3 linked regions of the Tribolium castaneum genome follow. The protein of the gene in region 3 purifies or fractionates together with the protein of the main gene of each other region. This does not show direct contact. Links are inferred from orthologs where the notes say so. Each region holds a gene or a part of one and is shown on either strand. Other genes may lie near its edges.

Region 1 (4,290 bases), on a different chromosome or scaffold from region 3:
CCTTCTGTGCAGCATAAATGCACAAAAGCTCGCCAGTTACTCCGATTGGATAGAGAACAATAAATGTTGTATATCTAAAACGGTGAATAAAATCTTTAGCGTCTTTCGGGCAAAAACACATTGCATTAATTTGTTTTTGTAATTCGCTGCACGCTGCAGTTAATGTAACACCGAAAACAAATGTTTTAATCTTTTTACATACGTCAACAATATGTATTTAACTACAAAAAACAAACTGCGTATGTTTTAACTTTTATCACAAACAGCGGGCGGAAATCGTATTGTTTGAAAACAATCTTACCTCAACCACGTTACAATAAAAGGGACACCCCCTGTTAAATTTAAGGTGTAATTTCCGTATCGAATTATTTCCGTTACGGACCACGCAGCAAGGGCTAAATGTAGACCAATGGTCTCACGGCCCGCTTTCGTTGCTAAAATTACGCCACAAACCACTATCACTCTGGACGCAACTTGCATGGCAGTAATGAGCGGGTTTGAAGGCACTATGCGTATAAGGGTGTGCACCACTTCCAAAACGGCCGCGTTTTGAAAAATAATTAAGGACCATTTCACCGTGTCGTAGAGAGATTGGCTTTTAGAAGGCGATAAGTGATAACTAACGAGTAGGTATAAGAGATAGGACCACCTAAAAATTGTTAAAAAGTCAAAGGAAATAATCGACTGATGGGTTAAAGTTCACCCAGGTATGTTTACATCTAAATAAATTGATGAATCGACAAAATACTCGTACAATAGACTGAATCGCATGAATAATGTGGAATGTTTTTCGAATAAAAAAAGAAAACCTTTACTTTTCATTAGCGGTTTTTTTAATAAAACCGGCTTATTACGATGTAAGCAAGTGAATGAACGATTTTTGTTAATTAATTATGATTGTCTGACTGGTTTTTGTATGTAATTAAGTTAATTCGATAATTTTTCCAGAAAAAATTCCAATGAATTAAATAATGAGATACTTAAACTAAATGAATTTTTAAGCACTTACCCGATAGTTTCTATGAAATTATACCCAATTAAATACGTTTTAGCAAAGGCAGAAATCTCTTTTTTGGGTTTATTTGATGGTTTTGCATTGGCCATTTTTTAGAAGTAGTAGTGAACACAAAATCTGGCCACTGGAGTAAAAATGTAACGGGCTTACAAACTACTAAACTGAGGCAATGGAATGACCCCCAAAAGTCGCGTCATCGACGCGGTGCCCCCACTTTTTCTTTAATGATCCAAAGATAAAGGACGACCAGTTTTGAACTCTTAGTTAGGCAACCAACTTTATCACACTTTTGAATTCGATAAAACCACACAAAAGACACACATTTACAATTTATCACCACTTATTTTTTATTTGTGAAAATTGAAAGCGTAAAAAGAGGTTATGTTTGGAAACGTCAACAAAACGTCATCGTGACAGCAAACTAACATAACCAATAATCCTTTTCCAAAAGTTGCAAATCGTGTTAAACAATTTTCCAAAGCATGTCTTTATTCCGCAAACCGAAAAAGACAATCCAGCGGCGCGTGTTCACCGAAAACGACGATGACGACGACGAGCCCATGGACGTGGAGGCGCAGCCCCCTCAAGACCGCGACCACAAGAAAAAATCCAAACACAAGCCGAAACAGCCGCTCCTCAGCTTCGAAACCGAGGAAGAAGGCGAAGTATTCCAAGTAAAAAAGTCCTCACACAGTAAAAAGGTCATGAAAATGTTCGAAAAAGAACGCCAAAAGAAGAAAGAGACCAAGCCCGAAAAAGACCCCAAACCCAAAGTCAAGACCGAGATCGTAACGGACGACTTGGTCCTCGTAGTGAACCACAAACCGGCCCCGCCCTTGATTCTGAGCGGCCGTGACGCCCTATGTGCCGGAAAGGACGATTTATCCGACGAGGACGAGGCCCCAACCACCCACAAATTCTCCAAACCGGACAACTTCAAGAAGGTCTTGGAATCGGGGGCGATCCCCGACGCCGCCATGATCCACGCCGCGCGAAAGCGCCGCCAGCGGGCGCGCGAAATGGGGGACTACATCCCAGTGGAGGAGGAGGAGCCCGAGGACAAGGGGCGCTTGTTGCGGGAGGATGATAACGAGGGGAGCGACGACGAACGAATCGACATGGACGTGAATTTGGCCCTCAGGGACCAGGAACGGAGGCGGGAGCAGTTTCTAGCGGCGCAGGAATCGGATCAGGAGGTGGACGAGTGGGAGCACCAACAGATCAGGAAGGGGGTCACGGGGGCCTCCGCCCTCGCCTCCGATTTGTTGTACACTGACTACCAACCCGAACCTACGGCTGTGGCAGCCCCCGTGCAAGCCATGGACCCCGGGGTCCCCCGGACCCCGCAAATGATCGCCGATAAGTTGCGCGAACACTACCAGAACGTGTGCGAGTCACGCGAGGCCAATATCAACAAATTGCAACAAAATCAGCAAGACATTGAGCAAATTTCCAAAGAGTTGGAGGAATTAAAGACGAAAGCGCCAATCGCCGCTGAACGATTCAAATTCTATCAAGAACTTCGGGGTTATATCACCGATTTGGTCGAATGTCTGGACGAGAAAGTTGGCGTGATTGCAAGTCTGGAACAACGGGCTATGGACCAAATGGCCAAGCGCTCCGAGTGGCTGATTGAGCGCCGGAGACAGGACGTGCGGGACCAGGCTGAGGAGGCGACCAACAAGGCCGGGATGAAGAAGGTGGCGGAAGATGAGGAAAAGGTGCGGCGGGCGGCTGAGCGCGAGGGGCGGCGCACCAGGAGGCGCAGGGCGCGCGAGATCGGGGGGCAACCCAAGCACGTTGAAGGCATGTCCAGTGACGATGAAATCTCGCAACAAGACATGCTAAACTTTGACAAGGAACGCGAGCAACTCGATGGGGAAATCCAGGAGGTTTTTGAGGACGTGGTCGAGGACTACTCCTCAGTTGCGAACATTTTGATCAAGTTTGAGGAGTGGCGGGAGACCGACTTGGCGGCCTACAACGAGGCTTACGCCACGCTGTGCCTCCCTAAGGTCGTGAGCCCCCTTGTACGCCTCGACTTGATTTTTTGGGACCCGTTGAACGACTCCGTCGACATCGAAAAACTGGATTGGTACCGAACGTTGGCCCTCTACGGCCTACACGACGACGAAAGTGAGGCAACTCTAGCCCAGGACCCCGATATCAACCTCCTCCCCACAATAGTCGAGAAAATAATCATTCCGAAGCTAACACAATTAGTGGACCGGTGTTGGGACCCCTTGTCCAGCTCACAGACGTTGAAACTGGTGGGGATTATCACTCGCTACGTTCGCAAGTTTCCGACACTAGGGCCGGCGAGTAAAGCGTTGAATAATTTGTTCAATGCCATTTTGCACAAAATGAAGTGTGCCCTCGAACATGACGTTTTCATTCCGCTTACACCCAAATTGATTGAGAGCAAGTCGCCCTTTTTTCAGAGACAGTTCGCCAGTGGATTAAAGTTGCTGAAGAATATTACGAGTTGGCAAGGTGTGCTCAATGATAATACGCTCAAAGAACTGGCGCTGAATTCGCTCCTGAATAGGTATTTGTTGAGTGCGGTCAAGTTTTGTTTGCTGACTGATGCCGTGTCCAAAGTTAGTTTAATTAGTTTGATTTTGCCGAGGGTTTGGCTGCAGGGTAATACTCCCGAGTTGAAAATGTTCAGTTCGAGTGTGCTGAACCTGTCGCAGCAGTTGGATAAGAATAATCCTCTACATTTGGAAAGTATTGATATTTTAAACAATATTCTTAAAACATTGCGCACTTGAGTGGTTTTGTGTGATAATAAAAAGAAATTTTAATGTACCTACTCGTTGATTCTTTTATTAAACCTTAATCACTAACAGATAACAAGTAGAAAAGCATTGTGGGAGTCTTTAGTCCTACACCAATTATTTCACTCATGAGACTAATAACATGGCTCCGTTTGTTTTTCTGTTCACTTGCATTTATTCTGATTCAGGTCAGTATTCAACAAAGTACATCAAAAAATTAAATGTACGTTATTTCAGTCACCGTGCAAAAAAGCCGAACTTTGCGAATCAAACAAAATCGTTTTATTTGGCACATTTTTTAGCAATGTGGTGAACAATGCCATAATGTTCGTCAGGGTGCAAATGCAAATGTACAGAAAAATTTTCGTCGAGTACGATGTGGCAAGCTTCGAGAATTTTAGCATTTTAACGGACATTTTTAATTACGGTTATGAGATGCAAGATAACTTTTGGAACATTATTCGTTTAACTACGCATTCTTATTATGCTAACAAT
Region 2 (4,095 bases), about 7.5 Mb from region 3:
GCCTTGCAAAAAGCAAGGTGAAACTAATGAACCTACTTGCTAATTTAATCAAAAGCAATTTTGAAAAATTCCTCTTATAAGCAGGTTTATTTGGAATGCTTTAACATTGTAGAATATAAAGAAAAATAGACAATTAAATGAACGTCTTATTTTAAAGTCAGACAAATCAGTTAAAGTCGGTAATACAATACAGTTTATAGAAAGCCTTGTTAAAATTTAATTTGTTGTTAAAAGTTAACAACGCGAATCGACCAATCAAATTTGTTCAATTTGATCACATGAACAGTTAATCACGCATTTAATTGCAAATTAACTTAATGACGCTTCCATAAACCCATCCTATAAATATTAAATATTTTATAATAACTACAAGTTTTATTTTGGAGATATAGAAATATTTCAAAGTAGTTCTGGTAGTTCTAAACGAAAGTTAATAGGGCTTAATTTTACAGAAATTATTAAAGTATTGTTCATCTGCAAGAATTGCAAGCTAAAAGTAGAAGTTTTAAATTAAAAACTTAATACATAGGAATAAAGATGATCCAAACAGTTTATCCAAAAAAAATAAAAAAATACTATTACTAGTTTGTGTTTTTATCAAAACGCTACGAATACAGTGGAAAATATAAAAAAATGTAAAGAAAAATGTAAGGGTGTAGAGAATTAAATTTCCTATTTAAGTCCGCACATATTTTCAATGGGTAAATTAAGGTGTAAATTAATTTTCCCCACCTGACCAGTGGTAAAATGAAAAACCGTGCCTTCAGCATCTTTATTCTTTATACTTCTTTAGGGCCTAAGCGGTTAAAAATAGTGATATTGTCCCGACCATTAAAAAAAATAAATTCTCTATACTTTATTCCTAACAATTTTCTTGTACCTTTAACCATGTTCATTGTGTAATGAAAAAAATGGAAGAAAATGTGAAATAAATTCTTTTTCTTGTTTTTTGTATAAATTTTAGTCATCAGTTTTTCTCAATCTATTACGAATGTAAAGCCCTACATTTCCGCATTTTTTCCAAGTAATAAGTGATTTGGTTAAATTAAAATTAATTTAAAACGTTTTGGCGCTTGTATCTATGGCCGAATAACTCTGGAAGCGCCCTCATTTTTCTCTGTCGTACTATATTTTTTGGGTACAGAAAATCGTGCGATTTTCTATCTTGTTTTGTCTCCCGATATAAACTCCTCCGTAACGTAAACATTACAGCTTCATAAACGATTACAAACGTAACGTACCTTAATAATTGTTATTTAAATAATCGTAGTAGAATCCCACTTGTGGGGAGCTTTTTCTCGACAGAGGGCGCTATCGCAAAGCGACCTGACGCAAAACATAACCTCTGCTTTTTTGCCACCCGAAATCGATTAATTTGTTGTAAAAGTGTGAAAAAACGTGTGAAAATGTCGGACGACGAGATGGAAAAGTTCGAAATAACGGATTACGATTTAAACAATGAGTTTTACCGTGGTAGAAAAAAGTTAAGCAAACACCAGCAGATTTATGGTAACAACTTGACTCCACATCTACTATCTACCCATTTAGGTGGAACAAACCCAAATTAACGACTAGTTCCGTGTAGGTATATGGGCAGACGACAGTGATAATGACGAAGAAGAGCGACCTTCGTTTAAATCACGAAAACCTAAAAATTATTCCGCCCCGATTGGTTTTGTTGCGGGGGGTGTCCAACAAGCGGGTAAAAAACCCGAAAATGTTAAAAAAGAAGACGAAAGTGATGAGGAAAAACCAACGACGAGTTTTAAACTTAAGGATAGCTCAAGTGATTCAGAGGATGAACGTCCAAGGCCAGGTGGGGGCACAAAATATCAAACTTTTTCCAATTTGAATATTTCAGGGTTCGGTGGGGTCCAAGAAAGTGGGGACATTGCAGGCCTACGTAACAAAACTCACTCGCAACCTATGCAAGGGGTGGGAAATTGGGAAAAACACACAAAGGGGATTGGGGCAAAGCTTCTATTACAGATGGGTTTTCAACCGGGGAAGGGGCTAGGGAAAGACTTACAAGGGATTTCAGCCCCGGTGGAGGCCCACTTGAGGAAGGGCCGGGGGGCTATTGGGGCCTACGGGCCAGAAAAATCCGCAAGCATTCCAAAGAAAAAGGTAAACAAAAATAATAATTAATAAATTGTTTTTAACTTATTTTTACCCTAAAAGGGCCGATTTCATAAACACATTTAAATCTTGATTTAAATTTAATCGACTTTGTCATAAACTCTGTTTCACAAGGTCTTAGGGCCACTTTCATAAACGAATTTAAAGAAGCATTAAATTAAATGTTTAGTATGTAAAATATACCTATTCTTATCCTTTTATTCGATTTTTATGAACAATTATTTCTTTATCGTTTTTTAAAATCTTTACATTTGGAGATAAGTCTTCTATCACTTTGAATGGTCCATTGATGAAAATTGCACTTAACTTCTCACCTGTTTCGTTTTTTATTAACACTAAATCGTTGGATTAACACTTTTATCATAGTTTATTTTCCTAGATACGAGATTTTTATGAGCGTCATGCAGTTCTTTGCAGTTTATACTTCATTTTTAGCACATAACCATTAAAATTATACAAAGGCACAATCTCATTGGTTAAATGAGGTAAGTTATATTTTTTCCTAAAAACTAATTCAAAGGGAGTGTATTTAGTTTCGGAATAAACTGTTGTATTAAAAGGAAAACCCGAAATGGTATCCAGAAGTTATTAATTGGAACTTTTGTTTTTGGTTAAAATTATTAAAAATGCACCAAGATTTTTATGTTTTTTCTCGATAGCTCCTTAACTCATCATAATAAGCGTAGATTTCAAATGAGTTATGTTTAAAATTTTGCAAACTTTGGTTCTCGTACATGGTAAAAATTCAGTACCTTTATCTGTCCTATTAACTCGAAATGAAATTTTCTACAAAAGCTCTTGCAACAGTTAGTGTGTTTCGTCGGTAAAGCATACGCTTCCACAAATTTTGTAAGTTCGCACTAAATTGCTAAAACGTCGAATTAAAAATTAATGCCCCTTTAAGTTTAAAGCGTGGAGGGAGAAGATTCAAGATTCTCCCTGCATTGTTCAAATCCACAATTTTCGCCTATTAATACAGGGTGTATCAAAAATACGTGTGTGAATTTTACCACATAAAAAAACTCATCAAATAAAACAACTTTTCTATACAGGGTGTAACGAAAAGATGTTCACAACAGTGAACAGTGAACAGTTCACAACAGTGAACCATAGATTCCCTGTCTTAAAATAGAGCGATTTAGGCCAACTTATTTCTATACCAAGTTGCACCGTTTAAAAGTTAGAGGGCGTCAAATTAAAAAAAAATCGTTTTTTTTATTTTAGTAACTTAATTGGAATAATCGAGTTTCATGAAATTTGGTACAAGTAATTTGTCATCGAAAATTGTTGATGCTAATACTAACAGCATGTTTTGAAATAAATGCTCAATAAAAAAAGTATTTGCTTTATTTCATTCACTTTGTTTTGAAAAAAACCTCGACGTCAAAGCAAATACTTGCTAAAAAAGCTTTTACTTCCATTATTACTCAATACTCATACATTTTAGAGCACTTATTTAAACACATTATTTAAACAATTTCTGTTAAAAAACGGCAAAGAGGGGCCAAATTACAAAACAGTATAAAATACTCGTTTCATTTTCATAAGGCCTTGAAGCACTCATTTTTGAAAATTCGTGCTTAAAGACTGGTCTTATGAAACTTGTTTTTTAATATACTATTTCTTTATTTGATATTAATGTTGTCACCCTTTTCATTTCAAGCTGAAAAATTACGAAATTAGACTAGTAATTAAAGAAATGAAATTGACTTCATTTAGCTTATTTTGCTCGATTTTAAATTTTGGCCAAAATTGTTGTTAAACTTAAATTTTTGGCTAGATTTTGCTAGAAAATTTTCGGGTGCTTTTGCACATTTTCCATCCAAAAATGCAATTATTTCGCAAAATTTCGTTAAAGTATACCGTAAAATAACCAAGATTGGCCGAAAATTGTCTTATTGTTGTTTTTTGGGTTTAAGTATGTTTTTTGACGTCAAAACCTAGCTTTTTGGATTA
Region 3 (3,259 bases):
TCCGTTCGAGTCGTTGAGTCTTTGTTGGAGGTTCAGAATTTCGTCTTCGAGATTTTTTATTATTTTAAATGTGTTGTCCTGACTTTGGAGACTTCCAATAATTTCCTTGTCTTTAATTTGCAATTCCTTCGACTTTAAATTAATTGTTTCCTCTAATTTGACTTTCGTCCGAACGACTGTGTCTTGCAATTCATTTAATTTCGCTTCGTACGAATTTTTCAACTACAAAAAAATCTCGTACCTGACGAAATTAACAAAAACTATTATTTACTTGTGTGAGTTGGTTTTTCGGAATAAATCCTTCGGTGTTTTCGTGAAAAATTCGCAGCTCTGACTCAAGGAGTTCAACAGTAGATGCGGCATTTTGCCATAATTTGACCGCTTGTTCTTTTTCTTCAATTACAGTGTGCAGTTGTTTCTTCAAATTTTCAACCAAATCGCTCTCTTTGTACGTATGTTCAACTTCACATTTAGTTATATCGACGTAAACTCGCCCTAATTCATCTCTCAATTGACTATTTTCGTGGAGGGCTCTCTTGAGTGCTTTTTGTTCGGCCTAAAAACATGTTTTAGTCACACTTTTGTGAAAAAATTCACAAATTTGTTACTTGGACGTCGTCCAAATCCCCGGTCACCTCCTTGAGAGCAGCCTCATAATTTTCAATAAGTGACTGGAAATTTCTACAGAACGATAAATTCGTATCTTATTTATCTATTCCAAACTTACTGAATATTAATATCCCCTGAACTTATCATAATAATAACTCCAAAAAACCATTACGATGACATTTTTTGAAGGATTTCAAATTTTGAAAATGTGACAGAGACATCTGCCGAAGGTCACACCAAACGAGCACAAATTAAAACAGTCAAATGAGGATTATTCACGTTTATTTCAATAATTGTGCGATTATTTGCAAATAACGAAGAATTTTGACCAAATGTGGGTGTAAATAATGTGGCGATTTGTTTGTGTTTACGGGGAGTCGGTCTAATTTTACAGGTGGAACGATCGATAAGTGTCGGCGCTAATTTCGAATGAAGCGCCGAGCAAAAACCTAGAAGGTATTCCAGGCGAAGAGGCTGCTGGTGTATTTTGCACTGTTCTATTTTTGTTTCTGTATTAAATTGAACGACTTGTAAAAAACATCTTAATAAAATAATTACACGCTGAAAGCTTTTTTTTTACCTCAAACACTAAAAATTTTGCTTGTTTATTGATTACACTTACATTTAAATTGCCTGATTGCAAAACAATAAAAGAAATGTGTTTTTTTACGCTTGCAACTTATTGAATTTTGAAAATTTTGGGGAGACATCTGCCGAAGGTCGCGCCGAACTAGCACCAGCTGTAAGGCGAATAAGAGTGAAATGACAATTATTTCCGTTTATTTTAGTAACTGTGCGATTATTTGCAAATATTTGAAAGATTTTCGTTAAATGTGGGGGTAAATAGTGTTGCGGTTTGTTTGTGTTTACGGGGATCGACCTAATTTCAAATATCTGGTGCAGTGGCGATCGATAATTTTGGCGCGAAATTTGAATTGAGCGCCAAATATGAAGTGAGTGAATCCCAATTTTTGGCGCCACTTGAGCAAATAATTTTCCAGTACGAAATTGTATGTAGATATTGGACCGGAACAATGGCCGATTATTTATCGCCCGGAATACAATGTCCGTTTTTTGGGGTTGGAAAAATTGCACCCTTTCGACGCCGGCAAGTGGGGCAATATTTATAAATATTTGAAAAGTTGTGGTTTAGTTAACGACGAAACGCTTTCGGTGCCAAATGAAGCAACAACTGAAGACTTATTAACGGTGCACACTAAAAAGTATTTGAAAAGTCTGAAAGTAAATATTTTTGGGGGTTTTTCATGCGGTAATTTTTTTCTTGTAGTGTAGTTTTAACGTAGCGCTGATAGCGGAAGTGCTTCCGCTGTGTCTCGTGCCAAATTACTTGGTTCAAAGGGGATATTTGCGTCCGATGCGGTTCCAGACTGGCGGTTCTGTTTTGGCGGGAAAGTTAGCTCTGGAACGTGGCTGGGCAATAAATATCGGGGGCGGTTTTCACCATTGTTGCGGTAGCAAAGGTGGTGGGTTTTGTGTGTATGCTGATATAACACTATTGATCCATTTCGTGTTTAATCATCACCCTCGGAGCGTTCAAAATGTCATGATCGTGGATTTAGACGCTCATCAAGGTAATGGATATCAGCGGGATTTTAAAGATAATCCCAACGTCTACATCATAGACGTGTACAACAAAGGGATTTACCCGTTCGACAAACTTGCCAAGGAGTACATCACCCGAAAAGTCGAACTGGCACACTTTACCGAAGACGACGAGTATTTGGACAAAGTTGCAAAAAACCTAACCGAGGCGCTAGCCGAGTTCTGCCCCCAGCTGATCGTCTACAACGCCGGGACGGATATTCTCAAAGGAGACGCTTTGGGGTGCTTATCAGTCTCGCCCCAGGTTGATACTAATAACTGTCATAACAATGAAACTATCTGATTGACTTTCCAGGGAATCATCGAACGGGATGAACTGGTATTCCGGGAAGCCCGTTCCCGGAACATTCCAATCGTCATGCTAACCAGCGGCGGCTATTTGAAAAAATCGGCCAAAATTATTGCCACTTCGATCAAAAACCTACACGATTCGGGCCTAATAACAGGCCCTCAACTCCGCTACTAAAACTGAATAAAACACATTTTTATTATCTTGTTGATTTATTAAACTGGTCGTAGAATTCCGACGTTGGCGTGTTTTTATAAACGACTTTCTCCAAAAACTCCTTACGCTGTTTTTGCTCCACTGCCAACTTTCGGTTTTCCTCAGCTAAACTTTTCACCATTTCCCTGAAAAAACACATTTCGCTACATCCTTTTAAATTTTAATCACGAACCTCTGTTTCCGGGCTTCTTCTTTGTCCAGTAATGATATTGTGCGTTGCGTTCCGTTAATGTAATCGTCGTATTCCCGATTCATCCGCTTTTCCAACTCTTTGCGCTTCTAAAGAATTAAAAAGGAAATTAACCCACCCCGAGGCCCTTTCCAATATCTTTATTAAAGAACGTTAATATTATTGGGACGGTCCACTTAAACTAATTAGAAAAATTGCTGTTTGTGTGCCAAGGGAAGGACGTGCATTTTCTCCTGAAGATAAATTAATCATTTGGGGGACAGAAGAGACTTTCCTCTAGTGTTGTATATACCTATCATTTTTAGACGGCTTTATCCATCTTCTAATTTTTT

Evidence for each region. Proteins that work in one complex are often made in the same cells at the same time.
Region 1: the proteins of HDAC11 (region 3) and PAX3- and PAX7-binding protein 1 purify together in Homo sapiens (co-immunoprecipitation; 3 studies listed by BioGRID and IntAct, counting the BioPlex papers as one, with this or other methods). This does not show direct contact. The link is inferred for Tribolium castaneum from reciprocal best matches to the Homo sapiens genes HDAC11 and PAXBP1.
Region 2: the proteins of HDAC11 (region 3) and sip1 purify together in Homo sapiens (co-immunoprecipitation; 3 studies listed by BioGRID and IntAct, counting the BioPlex papers as one, with this or other methods). This does not show direct contact. The link is inferred for Tribolium castaneum from reciprocal best matches to the Homo sapiens genes HDAC11 and TFIP11.

Annotation. Positions count from the first base shown.
Region 1 is NC_087398.1:7,514,917-7,519,206, reverse strand, and holds PAX3- and PAX7-binding protein 1, read left to right. Parts: upstream 1-1,490; 5' UTR 1,491-1,497; coding exon 1,498-3,789; 3' UTR 3,790-3,824; downstream 3,825-4,290. Other genes in the region: Hacd1 (very-long-chain (3R)-3-hydroxyacyl-CoA dehydratase hpo-8), read right to left, coding at 1-74, 302-649, 1,010-1,104. UniProt on the Homo sapiens protein: Adapter protein linking the transcription factors PAX3 and PAX7 to the histone methylation machinery and involved in myogenesis.
Region 2 is NC_087402.1:11,583,656-11,587,750, forward strand, and holds the start of sip1 (sip1/TFIP11 interacting protein), read left to right. Parts: upstream 1-1,295; 5' UTR 1,296-1,406; coding exon 1,407-1,509; intron 1,510-1,585; coding exon 1,586-1,816; coding exon of another isoform or gene 1,817-1,861; coding exon 1,862-2,127; intron 2,128-4,095. UniProt on the Homo sapiens protein: Involved in pre-mRNA splicing, specifically in spliceosome disassembly during late-stage splicing events. Intron turnover seems to proceed through reactions in two lariat-intron associated complexes termed Intron Large (IL) and Intron Small (IS).
Region 3 is NC_087402.1:4,112,429-4,115,687, reverse strand, and holds HDAC11 (histone deacetylase 11), read left to right. Parts: upstream 1-1,316; 5' UTR 1,317-1,557; coding exon 1,558-1,562; intron 1,563-1,610; coding exon 1,611-1,851; intron 1,852-1,897; coding exon 1,898-2,476; intron 2,477-2,527; coding exon 2,528-2,698; 3' UTR 2,699-2,720; downstream 2,721-3,259. Other genes in the region: myosin-9, read right to left, coding at 1-222, 272-556, 609-681, 728-756; RIB43A-like with coiled-coils protein 2, read right to left, coding at 2,721-2,862, 2,910-3,016. UniProt on the Homo sapiens protein: Responsible for the deacetylation of lysine residues on the N-terminal part of the core histones (H2A, H2B, H3 and H4).